Canis lupus familiaris: one gene and its partners. The protein of the gene in region 2 purifies or fractionates together with the protein of the main gene of each other region. This does not show direct contact. Links are inferred from orthologs where the notes say so. Each region holds a gene or a part of one and is shown on either strand. Other genes may lie near its edges.

The links.
Region 1: the proteins of SAP30 (region 2) and BRMS1L purify together in Homo sapiens (affinity purification with mass spectrometry; 4 studies listed by BioGRID and IntAct, with this or other methods). This does not show direct contact. The link is inferred for Canis lupus familiaris from reciprocal best matches to the Homo sapiens genes SAP30 and BRMS1L.
Region 3: the proteins of SAP30 (region 2) and SAP130 purify together in Homo sapiens (affinity purification with mass spectrometry; 4 studies listed by BioGRID and IntAct, with this or other methods). This does not show direct contact. The link is inferred for Canis lupus familiaris from reciprocal best matches to the Homo sapiens genes SAP30 and SAP130.

The regions. Positions count from the first base shown.
Region 1 is NC_049229.1:14,676,852-14,681,577, forward strand, and holds the end of BRMS1L (breast cancer metastasis-suppressor 1-like protein), read left to right. Parts: intron 1-149; coding exon 150-297; intron 298-2,021; coding exon 2,022-2,139; 3' UTR 2,140-3,627; downstream 3,628-4,726. UniProt on the Homo sapiens protein: Involved in the histone deacetylase (HDAC1)-dependent transcriptional repression activity. When overexpressed in lung cancer cell line that lacks p53/TP53 expression, inhibits cell growth.
Region 2 is NC_049246.1:24,124,104-24,128,647, reverse strand, and holds the end of SAP30 (histone deacetylase complex subunit SAP30), read right to left. Parts: intron 4,290-4,544; coding exon 4,191-4,289; intron 1,642-4,190; coding exon 1,519-1,641; 3' UTR 1,304-1,518; downstream 1-1,303. UniProt on the Homo sapiens protein: Involved in the functional recruitment of the Sin3-histone deacetylase complex (HDAC) to a specific subset of N-CoR corepressor complexes. Capable of transcription repression by N-CoR.
Region 3 is NC_049240.1:24,026,565-24,030,568, reverse strand, and holds the end of SAP130 (histone deacetylase complex subunit SAP130), read right to left. Parts: intron 3,600-4,004; coding exon 3,496-3,599; intron 2,395-3,495; coding exon 2,281-2,394; intron 1,794-2,280; coding exon 1,635-1,793; 3' UTR 853-1,634; downstream 1-852. UniProt on the Homo sapiens protein: Acts as a transcriptional repressor. May function in the assembly and/or enzymatic activity of the mSin3A corepressor complex or in mediating interactions between the complex and other regulatory complexes.

The DNA of each region.
Region 1 (4,726 bases), on a different chromosome or scaffold from region 2:
GAATTATATAGGAAATGAAGAAATTCTCTTGTTTCTGTCATTTACCTTTGTTATCTAAAATATTTTTAGTGGTTTTTTTTCACATATATGCATGGACTGGTGTTAATGTTCTGCACTTTTGTTCTGACAATATCTTATTAATATAACAGTTTTTGAACTGATCCCTTTAGCACCTGTGAAACTGGAAAAACATTTACATAGTGCTAGATCTGAAGAAGGAAGATTATATTATGATGGTGAATGGTATATACGTGGACAAACAATATGTATTGATAAAAAAGATGAATGTCCTACAAGGTAAAAATTATCATTCAGTTTTGCTCAGTATTATAGTTTATAACACTGTTGTCAATAAATATTTGCCCCCTCTGTAGTGCATTCATAATACACCATTCATTAGTTGCTTAAAGATCCTTTTCTCTTGGCATATGATTTGGTTAGCATGTGTGTATACCAGTGTTAATATTTGTAGACTAATGTCACGTATTAAGTTCTTGAGCACAAGCATTAACACAAGAAGAAATGTTGGAATTATTTAGCCAGGTAAGTAGTGCTATTTGTTCTTAAAGTAGATGATGAATTGTTAGGATTTTAATATTATGATCTTTAAACCAGCCTGTTAGGCATTTTGGGTGGACATATTAATCGTTAACTTTTTTTGCATGTGTTACAGTATGTATCAATTAGAGTAGGAAAGGAATGTAAATTAACGAAAATACCCTAAGAGTCCCAGGAATTACAGTATAATTTGAAAACTGAAAGCTGCCTTTTTAAAAGGCTCAATCTGTCTAAGCTTAAATAAGGTTTACATAATTATATAGCCTTCTAAGTTTTTGTGTTTTTTTAGAGATTTTATTTTTTTAAGTAATCTCTACACCCATTATGGGGCTCAGATCCACAGCCCTGAGATCAAGAGTCCCATATTCCACTGACTGAACCAACCAAGTGCCGCTATAGCCTTCTAAGTTTTAACTGGTTGTAGCCTTTGGAAAATATTAATGCTAATTACTGCTTTTGTTCCTTCAGTAGTTTAGGATTTAATTCTGAGTGATAGCCTTCTTCAGTAAGAAAGTATCTTTTTCTAGGTATGAATGGTTAATGCAGTGTTTTCTATTTAAAGAAGAATACTCATTTTCCAAATACAGTAGTTTTACTTGGACTGTAATTTCATCTGTAAAGTTTTAGGATACTAGAAGTATTGTGTATAGTAATTTTCCTCATAGAAGCCCACTGAGCTAATTCCTAGGTTCTATGTGATACCCCTAGATCTTTTGCTTTATCTTATTGCTTTTAAGACATTTTACTGATTACTTAGCATGTGATTTAAAAAGAGATGAAATAGTACAAGAGGATTAAACACAAATCTATTTTTAAAAATATCTCTACATAAAGATAAAGTAGTGTCAAAAAGAATCCATGTAAGTACCAAAAAATGGTTTGACACCGGGAATTACGAATACCAATTAGGAATTGGTATTTTTAAGATTTCCTACACTGGGTGTTATACGTAAATGATGAGTCACTAAATTCAATTCCTGAAACCAATATTACACTATGTGTTAGCTAACTGAAATTTAAATAAGAACTTAAAATAAGTGGATACTCTGGAAAACTAAAGCATTTAAAAAAATAATTTAAAAAACTGGAATATTTCCTACAGCTGGGGGTGATATAAATTGGAGGTGTAAAAGTATATAATTAGTGTTTTTGGCTCCAATGTGTGTTTTGGGGGATGGGTTGGTGTGGGAATGTAGTAGAAACAGTGTGCATTTAATAGTTCTAAGAGTAAATAAGACCAATTCTATTAAGGAAAGAAAGGAGACTGTCTCTTAAGTGTTGCCGACTCTGGTGTTTTTGACCGCGTGCCCTGCTGGTAGTGCAGCATTGTGGTAAATGACAATTATGTACCTGAATCCACTCTTGCAGTCCAGCTATTCTGATTTTATGGCTTATACTCTAAAATGAGTGGTGGAGGTGTACTGCAATTCATTCATTCATTCCTTTTTTCCCCCCCTTTTTAGTGCTGTAATTACAACAATTAACCATGATGAAGTTTGGTTTAAGAGGCCTGATGGAAGCAAATCTAAGCTTTACATTTCACAGCTACAGAAAGGAAAATATTCAATTAAACATTCATAATCATGATTTAAGTGTTATCTAAAGCTACCTTATTAGTGTTATCAAGTGTGATGTGCCATGGGAGTTAAAAATGTATTCAATAACTTAATATTCTCATCAAATCATGAGAGACTGTATTTGTAGGTAGTACTCTAAGTAGACTTCATATTGATATGTCAATGAGACAGTAATAAAAACTTAATCATGATCATTACATTTATTTGCCTTTTAGGTCCAATGACCAATAGGTATATACGGTAGAGGTTTCTTACTAAATTTTTTGTTTTTTAAAAACATTATGCAAATCTGTCTTATCTTTAGTGAACTCTGTTGCTAAATGGCTATATTTGTCTGCAGTTTCTTTGATTTTTCACATCTTTGTCATTTACTGTGTTTGTAAATAAGCCTGATAAAATGTTTCTTATAAATGGTTTGTACTAGTACATTAGTGTTAAATCAGAATTGAGATTTAAACATATATACGTGAGTATGTATATATGGCATCATCAGCTAATTTAGAACTGATGGCCTTTCTTTACAATCTTGTTTTACCCAAAATTAAGCTATTGGGTTTGAAAGCTTAAAGGGAGCACTTTTGTAGACTAGCAGCTTTCTTTCTCCTCTTCCTTGATTGTATGGTGGTGACCTATTTTTACAAATTATACTTAATGTTAATTAGTAAAATTAGCATCAAGTAATAACAAGCTTCTACCTGTATTTCTTGTGAACTTTAGAGGGCAGGTATTTATGCCTGGTATTTATGATGCAGTATATAAGTGGTGAATAGTAACTGACAGTATTGTGGTGCTTGCTGTACATGTCTGATCTTTTGAAACAGATTTTTAGTAAGCATTTTCCAGAGGTAAAACTAGGTTCTTATCTTAATTTTATTCCTAGGGCAAACTAGACAGGGATAATTTTCTTGAATCTATTCCCAAATTAATATTTTTATCTTTGGTGTTTCTACACTTTAATAAGGCCACTTGGTGCAATTTAGAAAGTATTGACCTCTCTTCCTTTAGCCACATGCAAAATTAATTTCTAAAACCTCAGGAACAGTACAAAGAATTGAAACCCTCAATATGGCAGCACAATTGGCTGTAGTATATATTAGGGTACAACCAAATCAAGTTTTCCTGGTGGTCTTGTGCACTTTAATTTCTGTTATAATGAGACTGAAGAGGATGAGAAAGAGAGCTACTTATTAACACTTAGGGCAGGAATATCTGCATTATTCCGTTTGTTTTCTTACTCTTTTACCTCTGCAAACATCTTCCTGTGCAGATCACTACTTCACAGTTGCCAAATGTTGAAATATTTGACTTCTGAAACTCGTTATCAGCAAAGTTATATACTTTGTTCTGTTTCTAATTAACCTTAGCAAATGTACATAATGTCATAATCCAATAGTATTTGACAGTACTTATGTATACAATGTTTCATAAGCATTTTTAATAAGATTTGTATTTTTAAATTTAGTATATAATAAAAAGATGTGTTTGAGTGTCATTTGTAGTGTCTTGAATTACTCCTGTGTAAATTCTCAATAACTTGTTCACTTCTACGAATGATTTGAGCCAATTTACATTAATAGGTACAGAGAGTTGTAAGTATTGAACAAATGTTTCTGCTTCTCTAAGCCACAATTCAACCTCTGTTGGGGTATATTTAGATATTCAAGATGGCCAAGTTATGCTTTATTTAAAAATATGCACATATGTTATACTTTAATAAAAATGCACTGTATATGTTCTGAGATTCTAAATAGAAAATCTTTATTTTAAGAAGTATGATTTAGTGCATTAACTTTCAAAACGTCTACAACTGTAATCATCTATAAAGTACTATAAAATAAAGTACTACAAAGTACTATAAAATATATTTTTAAATTTCATATTGGCAGTTTGCCATTAGATTCTGATCAAAAGGTTTTAGGATTGTTAGAATCTGTGAAGTGTGATATTATCAGTTGCTGTTGCTATCGTTATGTTTACAATCAGCCTGTTTTAGGATCAATTTATGGTCCTTTCCTGCCACAGCTCAGTATTTCATAGTCAGCCCACCATTTCTTGCCATTTCCCATTTAAAAAACACCCCACCAATCACTAATCCAATGCATCACTAATAATTATTAGCGAATTAAGAGCACAGTCCTCATTCTCTCCCATTGGTGGCTTGGGCTCTGAGTACTTTTCGTTGCAGCCTTTTTCATATGAAGGTTGTTCTGATACACAGATTATTCCTCAGAACTGAAACATGGAGCACCTGGGTTAAGCATCTGCCTTCGGCACAGGTCATGATCCTGGGGTCCTGGGATCAAGTCCCACGTTGGGCTCCCTGCTCTCTCTGCTTCTCCCGCTCCTTCTGTCCCTCCCCCTCCTTGTGCCCTCTCTCTCTCTCTCTCTCTCTCTAATAAATGAAGAAAATCTTAAAAAATAAAACAATGAGGCTAATGCTTAAAAAAATTTCAAACACCACTTAGAGAATTGTGTACATCTCACTGATAATTATTTAAAAAGAACAGGGACATTGGCTGTTATTTCCAAGAATTTATTTGTGAACCCAGTAAGTTCCATACACTAAAACTGAACTAAAATGAATTTATAAG
Region 2 (4,544 bases):
AAACATTTTTTCTCTAGCTTACTTTTAAGAATACAGTATATAACACATATAATATACAAAATGTTTATTAGTTGTTTGTTATTGGAGAGGCTTACTGCCAAGTGTAGGTTAGTTGTAGTTAAGTTTTGGGAGAGTCAAAAGCTATATATGAATTTCCAACTATGTGATTGTTAGTGCTCCAACACCTGCATCATTCAAGGGCCAAATGTAAATCTTCAAATGGTTATAGCAAGAACAAAGACTAGTATTTTATTTTTCACCTTATTTTCTAGTCACCCAGAACACTTAAAAATACAGACTAACCTTCTAATGAACCACTACTTTAGATGTAACTACGTCAGTGGTTCTTCACCATGAATGATTTTGCTTCCCAGGGCATGTCTGGCAGCATTTAGTGATAGTTTTGTTTGTCACACCTTCAGAGTGCTCTACTGTGGACTGCAATGATGCTGCTAAAACTACAACACACAGGACAGCCTCCCATGGTAAAGAATTATCAGGCCCAAATATCAACCTTTGAGAGAAATCTTGAGCTACATTAATGTTCTGATCCATTTTCAGCCTAAAATCTGCACCATGATCAAGCATATTAACTAAAGCTGTTGTTGTTTTGATGTCATAAGCTATAAATTTGATTTGCAATTATGAGAACTTTAATAGAAAACTGATAGAGGATGAAATGTAAACAAAAGTAGAATATAAATCAAGTCAGAGCTATATCTGAACCAAAATTTAAAGATCTTATTAAATTTCTATATCTCTCAACATACTAGTTTTACTTTGCAATGTAAACAGTACAGGACATGACTGAAAATTAAAGGGTGCTGCAGAACTTCTATGTTCATGCCGTATAAACACCTTTTCTCTAAGATAAAACTTAAAGAAACAAGTAAAACTAATTCTACATTATTTCAACTTTCAGCACTGTGTTTATCTTTGCTGGCACATTAGTCTTTGTTGGAAGAAGGTAGGCATATAAATTAAATCCTTTGATCTTCCTAACTTTATCAAGTAATGATTTTAAAAAAAGGAAATAAAAAAGAAACTGCACTCCAGTGGAAGTCTATTTTTCAAACCTGTTATCACCAAAAAGCACTTTAAAAAATAATGCTAATTTTTAATTCCAAATGAGATTGTCCCAGAGAAAGCAAATGTGCTGCATTTGCTACTTCTCTTAACCTTCATTTCTTGAAATTTAAAATTAAAAATAAAATGTGGGAACAAAGTGATCTTTACATTAAACTCTTAATTAAAACTAGTTTTAAAAAAATCAAATTTCACAAAATAAATACACTGAAACAACTATAATAGTAATCACCTTTATTTAAAATATTTTTTTAATCTAGGAAAGCTCATTTTACACGAGTTTCCAACTAATTATTAGAGTCAGAAACAAAGAAAATAAAACCAGAGAAAATCCTCTGTAAAAAAATACACAAGGAACATTTCTACATGTGAAAAAACAGTAAACAGTCTTAACATCTGAACATCCAAGTCTTAGTCTCAATTCCACCTCTCCTAGTGAACACCACTATCAACCTTGAGATCTGATTTGTTCTTGTCATTCTTCACTGAGTAGATGAAATATGTTAAGGTGTCTTTTTCATTCACTGGAATAGACCTAAAGTGGCAACCAACTATCTAAAAAAACAAAACAAACAAACAAAAAATTGAAATTGAAATTAAATTATAGATATTAACAGTTATTATACTAGGTAAAAAACACTTTTATCAAAAGAAAAAGTGCTATAAGAGCTATTTCCTTTAAATAATAAACTATTTACAAAATACCAACAAGATGAAAAGCATATAATTAAGATATTACGAACAAGAGAGAGGGTGATTTCACAGGACCCTCCAACCTACTCAATTAAAAAGACATTAGAATGTGTTATTTCCTTTTATTTATTTAAATTTTATAACTAGAATCTATATTAAAAAGTAAATATTTTAAAACTTTAAATATGAATGAAATAAAACAAAATCTAGACCCTACTCACAGGAAAAGGATAAATAAATATTTAAGTTGAAAAACTGTTGGTACTGTAGAAACAAACCATAGAATATCTTACAAATATATTTGCTACAATTTATATTCATTCATTCATTGGCAGTACTCTCTGTTAAGGTTCCTTGAAAGTTTGTCTGAATAAATATGGATAGAAAATGCGAGGAAAGAGAGACATTCGCTGAAGAATGTTTATCTGCTTTCTGGCTTTTTCTTTATGCTAATCTAACACTACAAAACCAAGAGAAGTACAATGGACTAAACAGGGGTATTGATATGCCTATCTAGAATGTAAAGACAAAAAAAGTCTTAATGAAAATGTTATTCATACGATAATTAAGAGATTTAAGGAAGACAGTTACCTAACTCTGGAATCATTCCTAAGTGAACTATTAACATTCATGGCCATTTGGATTTTTTTCTCATTTCTAAAGAAGAAAGTAACTCTAGAAATAATATAACTTTTTAAATATCAGATTATCAAATATTTCAGGTGTGACTAGTATACTTAAAAAATATGTATTACTGACCCTGTACAACACAGGTTTGAACTGTGAGGGTCCACTTACACACTTTTTTTTCAATAAATACAGTATTGTAGATGTATTTTCTCTTTCATACGATTTTCTTAACATTTTCTTTTCCTTAGCCTACTTTATTGAGATTACAGTAAGAATAACTATAACACATATGACATATAAAATATGCTAACAGACTATGTTATTAAAAAAGCTTCCAATCAATAATAGGCTATGAGTAAGTAGTTAAGTTTTTGGGGAGTCAAAAGTTATATGCAGATTTTTGACTATGCCCCTAGTCAAAAATGCATTGTTCAAGAGTCAATTGTACTTCATATGTAACATTTAAAATAATCAGTTTTTGAGTTCACATTTGTCCCAAAACAAAGGTACCTTCCACTTGATTAGTATCTGTATATATATAGATACAGTTTCATCACAGTAAATACCCATGTTTATCTTTTATTAATATACTATACAATCCAAAAAGGGCTATATTTTTTAAATCAAATTTAAAGAAAAACTGAATTTTTGTTGCTTGGGCAAGAAGGAAAGAGGAAATTCTGGCTAAAAAGTCAGTATATTATATCTTAACGATGTTAAAAAAGCATTCTGCCAAAGAATTGTACCTTCTGTATCTTTTACCTTATTCGATATGCGCATTTTAAAAAACACTGCATTACTAAACACAAGCTGAAAAATATGAGAAAACTGACTTATATATTTACATTTCTATTCTGTTGAGTAGATTAAGTATTTTTACTTAAAATGATTAAAGTACAAATACATAAATCTGTAAATGCCTTGATTCACAGATTTCTTGGTTCTTTATTAACTCCTGAAAACACACATATTTCAAAATTTACAAAAAGACTAAAAGTTTTATATCAAAGCAAACTAAATAAAACCTTGGATAAAAGTCTTTGCATCTGGGGTGCCTATGTGGTGGAGCTAATGAAATGTATCCCTTCAGCTCAGGTCATGATACCAGAGTCCCGAGTCCCTCTCACTGAGCTGCCATCAGGCTCCCGGCTCAGCAGGAAGTCTGTGTCTCCTCCCTTTGCTCTTCTCCCTGCTCATGCTCTCTCTCTCAGATCTCTCTCAAGTAAATAAATAAACTCTTAAAAAAAAAAAAAAAACTTTGCATCTTCCAGATGTGAAGGCATAGATGCCTCTAATAAAACAAGCTAACATCACCAAAGACAAATTCTGAAATCGTTAAATCAACAAGTTATAGGAATACTATTTATGGGCTAATCTGTAGACCTAATCCATCAAAAACTCAAAAAATTTATAATAAAGACAACAAAGCTTATCAATTTCTTTTATTATGCCTCAATAAGGTATTCAAAAAATGCTTCCTGAGTGGAATTTTAAAACCAACAGATTTCTAGAATGAGAATTTAAAAATTATTACCCGCTATTTCTGAAAGCCAGTATTAAAAGATATTTAGAAAGCTACATACAATCCACTGAGTGGTTGTTACATAAAGCAATTTAAGAGACAGACAAACATTTCTAGGAAACTAGATTCTTCCACAATAGATTTTTTATTAACTGATCTTTCTAACTGAGCTGTATTGTTATACGTACTACATTAACAATTTCATTAGCCTTTAATAACTTTTTTATATAAACAGGCTCATTTAAAACTTCATAAATACCTCAACAAGTTGTGCTTTATTAAGTCCTGGTCTGGTTGATAGTTTGAAGTGTCTTTTGTATCTCCGAAGTGTATTTACTTGTAATTGGTATAAATCAACCTAGAAAAAATAAACATGTAAGAATTAGTTCATGCAATTTTTAAATTGTTATCTTTGATATGCATAATAGCATTTCAATTTTGGTACAACAAAAATGTAATTAAGTAACAAAAATTACATTATTTAATTAATTCCATTCCATTACTTCTTTTACATAATCAAAACTACAAATATATAGAGCACTTCAATCTTTTGAAGGTAAATACTGAGAACTGGGAGCAAAAAAAGAAGGCAATAGAGGTATAAGCATTGTGA
Region 3 (4,004 bases), on a different chromosome or scaffold from region 2:
AAGCTTCCTTTGACCAGGGTTATCTAAATTTTGTTTAAATTGCGGTGACTTTTAGAGAATACAGGTCAATAATGTGGGATCCCAAGTACCTGAATCATAGCCAGCACACCACATGAGATGACTGGGGCAGTAGTGTGCACAGGAAAAACGGAGGCAAAAGAACATTCTTCTAACAGTCTAGCACACTAGACTGGTGTTTAGCAAAAACAACCAATAACACCTTTTAAGGTTGGCTCTATATCTCAGTGAAACATTCTAGTGAAGCAGCCATGATTATTTCTAGGACCTCCTAGCCTAGGGCACACAGGGCAGAAGTCTGTTTCAGGTGAGTAAGAGCGCTGGTCCCTGAGACCTGGTCAGAACTGGCACAGACTCCTTGTCTTAAATCTACTCAGGTCAGAGCAAAGAGGAGAGCTCCAGGCAGAGTTGGCACCACAAGGTCTAAGGAAGAACATTCAGCTAGAAGGAGAAGGATGCCTGCTTATACTCAAAGGAAGCAAGCCTAGACTATACCATTTAGGTAGCTCAGAAGAAGCAAGTGTAACCTGGTGAAGAAATTCCACCCTCTGTGGCAGCTCCACCCCAACTCCTGCAGCCTTAATTGTCCTATAATTTGACCAATTTATAGCTGCAATGGGACAAAATAGTTTTATACTTAAGATAACCAAGAGCCAACAGACTTAACCATTGTGACAGCTTCAAAATACCAGGATAAATGGAACCCATTTATGTGGAATAACAAAACTTTAGCAGAGTAGACTCTCAACAATGTGTAAGAAATTACAGTAGGATATACACTCACATGGTGATCAGCACAGCACTGATTTGCTTTATAAAAAAGATGCAAACTGCTCATGTACAAAAACCTCTTTGAGTCCTTTATTAACATTTGGAGATGTGCGGTACATACAATTAACAGCATCACACAGCTACAGAAGTACAAATAACCAAGAACGTACTTCAGAACAAGGATCTCAGAGCAACTTCAGATGTTGCCTGCTCTGAACCTCCACAAAAACCCAACTCTGACACACGTGGGACAGACGATATAACAATTTCACTTTGAAATGGTTCTTTAAAAAAAAATGACAAGAATTAATAGTTCAAACCCTCTAGAGTGTGAGATGTGGCAAGTCTCTCGATGCCATGGCACTGCTGTAAAAGGCCAGCTCAGGCATTTGAAGGTCAGACAGAGTAAGAACCGGCTGGGATGAGGGGAAGAGGTTTGATGTTCAGTGTAGAGAGATAACAGATGGTCCAAGTGGATACTTTCAGTCCGGGCTCAGTATGGGTCCTGCAGGAATCCATCAGATAAATACAGTTTATAAACCAGAAGGCTGAAAACCACCAGCCATTCATTTGTGTCACTGATTCTAACTGGCAGACACTGATGCATCAGGAGTCATTTATGACACAGCGAGTTTAAGAGGGATACGCCTGAAAGAGAGAATGGAGTTCACTGCGCCAGAACAGCTCTGATCCGTTTGTGCCACTGGGTCCCTCTGCTTTCTTGTGTGAATTAAGGAACACTTCCTTTATTTCAATGTTCCATTTTGAGAATAACCAAAACCCTCCCCCCACCCCTACCATCATTCTTCATAAATTCTGTTTTCAAAGTCTTGATTCTTCTGGGTCTAGACTTTTTCCTTTCGCTTCAATTTCGACACCTTCTTGACAGTCCCGTTCTTGTTTAGAAGCTTCAGGACACGGTCTTTATGATCTAAAACCTTAAGCATGGAGTCTCTAGCCTCACTGATCTGGTCCATCACAAGTTTACACCGCTGCATATTTCCCTGCAACATAAAACATCATAACCAATCAGTAATCAGGAGACCACCAGGCTTTCAAAAAAACTTTTCACTTATAGAATGACACCATTTTGAGGCTTCCACATGGAAAAAATGTTTTGGTCTTTCTTAGTAATGCAAGCTAAAGTAGTTTGTTTTTTCTTTTAAATGATGTATTTATTTTAGAGAGCAAGTGTGCATGAGCTAGGGGGTGGGTGAGTGTGTGGGAGGAACAGAGGGAGAGGGAGAGAATTTTAAGCAGACTCCCTGCCCAATGCATGGGAGCCCAATGCAGGGCTCGATCCCATGACCTGAGATTGTGACCTGAGCCAAAACCAAGAATTAGATGTTCAACCGACTGAGCCACCCAGGCATCCCAAATAGTAGGTTTTTACTCAAGATGTTAGTGAAAGGGAGGGAAATGGGAGAAGTAAGACTGTACAGTGACAATCCCATAAACTGGATGATCAGAGGGAAAACGGCTAAGTCAAACCTGTATCAGTTCATTTATTCGGTGTAGATCATCATCAGTTGCTGCTTTTTTCTTTGGGATAATCCCTTCTTGTAGGTTGGTGAGTCTTTCATAAACATCATGTTCTAGATTTGTCTGCAACACATAAGAGGAAGGGTATGATGGCCTCAGAGATACTCTTCCTTGCTAACCTCAGGCAAATGCACCCATGTTGAATCACTCCTGTAAACTGGTATGAGGGCTGTTTGGGTGATAGAATCCCTTCTCCTGAGGACTAGGGCATTAATGTACAGCAAGGGAAATTATCAACAACGATTAATAGAACAATCTGTCATAATATAGGGTCCATCTTCAAGGATAACTTTTAAATACTTCCCTGAATTTATAACTGCTCTAAAAAAATAAGTCTAAAGGTTTCATAGAAACATGCTTTTTCCAAGGTACAATAAGTAGCCATGGCACTACTTTTTTTTTCTTAGATACTCATAACAATGTTCTTCAGATCACTGCTACTCCAAAGATGGAAAAACTTCATGAGGTTGTTGTTTTGATTGCTCCCCCTTCACCTCCATGGTGAGGGAAGGATTCCTGCCCTAGGATTATGGAAACAGAAACACCCCCCAACACTGGACACATGAGATCAATAGCAGTGTACTAGTCAATATAGTCACAGCCCAGGGGAGGAGGACACCACACAGCACGCAAGGCCATGCAGGGGCTGCACTCAGGAACAGAGTGAACAAGCAGGGGCTATAGGAGGCAGGTTTTGTAGTATTGGGAGGGAGAGGTGTCCCCTGGTTACCATGGGAATGTGACAGTTTATTTGAATAATATTGTAAACTGGCAGGGACCTAAAGCCCAATAATCAAGAAGCAGTGGGAGTTGAGCCTGGTCCCTGTGATAAGGAGTATGGTGGGGAGCAAGGGTTTACAGTTAGGCCATTTGAGTCTCTCTGTTTTAGATTCACAGCAATACAAAATATTGAACCTTAACTGTAGGTCTTATTGTTCAATGTACTTTGGTTCTGGGTACCAGACTAAGATATGTTTGGATTGTATCTATGGGATAGATATAATAATTATGATATTATATCATAAATTATACATATAAATTCTGCATGACCCACGTTAATTGGTCATGCTTCAGAATTACTCAAAAGGGAACACTCTAGAACTGAGATGCCTCCAGCATCTGTTCCCCTCTTCAGCAGGACATAACTGCTAGAACTCTACTTACCAGCTGTAGTAACTGAGCGGCACAGAGGTGAACTTTCCAGCCTTGAGCTCGACAGGATACTCCTTTCTGGTTAGCTATTTCCTGCAGCATAGCTTTCTTCTCTTCTGGAATCATTAAAAAATAAAAAGTGTATTTCAATTTGTATAAAGCTAATATAATCTGGATTCAAGCTACTGATGTTGCTACAGGTTTATCAATTATTTCTTTACTTAAATATCTTTAAATAATTCCTTTGCATTTAAGTCATTAGGAATAGAGGTAGTTTCTCCTTTTTGTTCATCCCTGAAGAATGCTGTAGAGACATACTCTGCTAATCTAGTGAGTTCAAAAGAGAACAAATTAATACTTTAATCTTTTAAAGGAAGGAAATGGTCTCTGGTGGCTTAGAGCCTTGCTCATGTGTGATGCATGCAAGCGTGGAGAATTGGGCATGAAGTTTTAGAAGCTTTTTGGTGTTATCTAGATCTTGGAGAAATGAATTAAGTTTGAATAACATTTCACATCTGGAT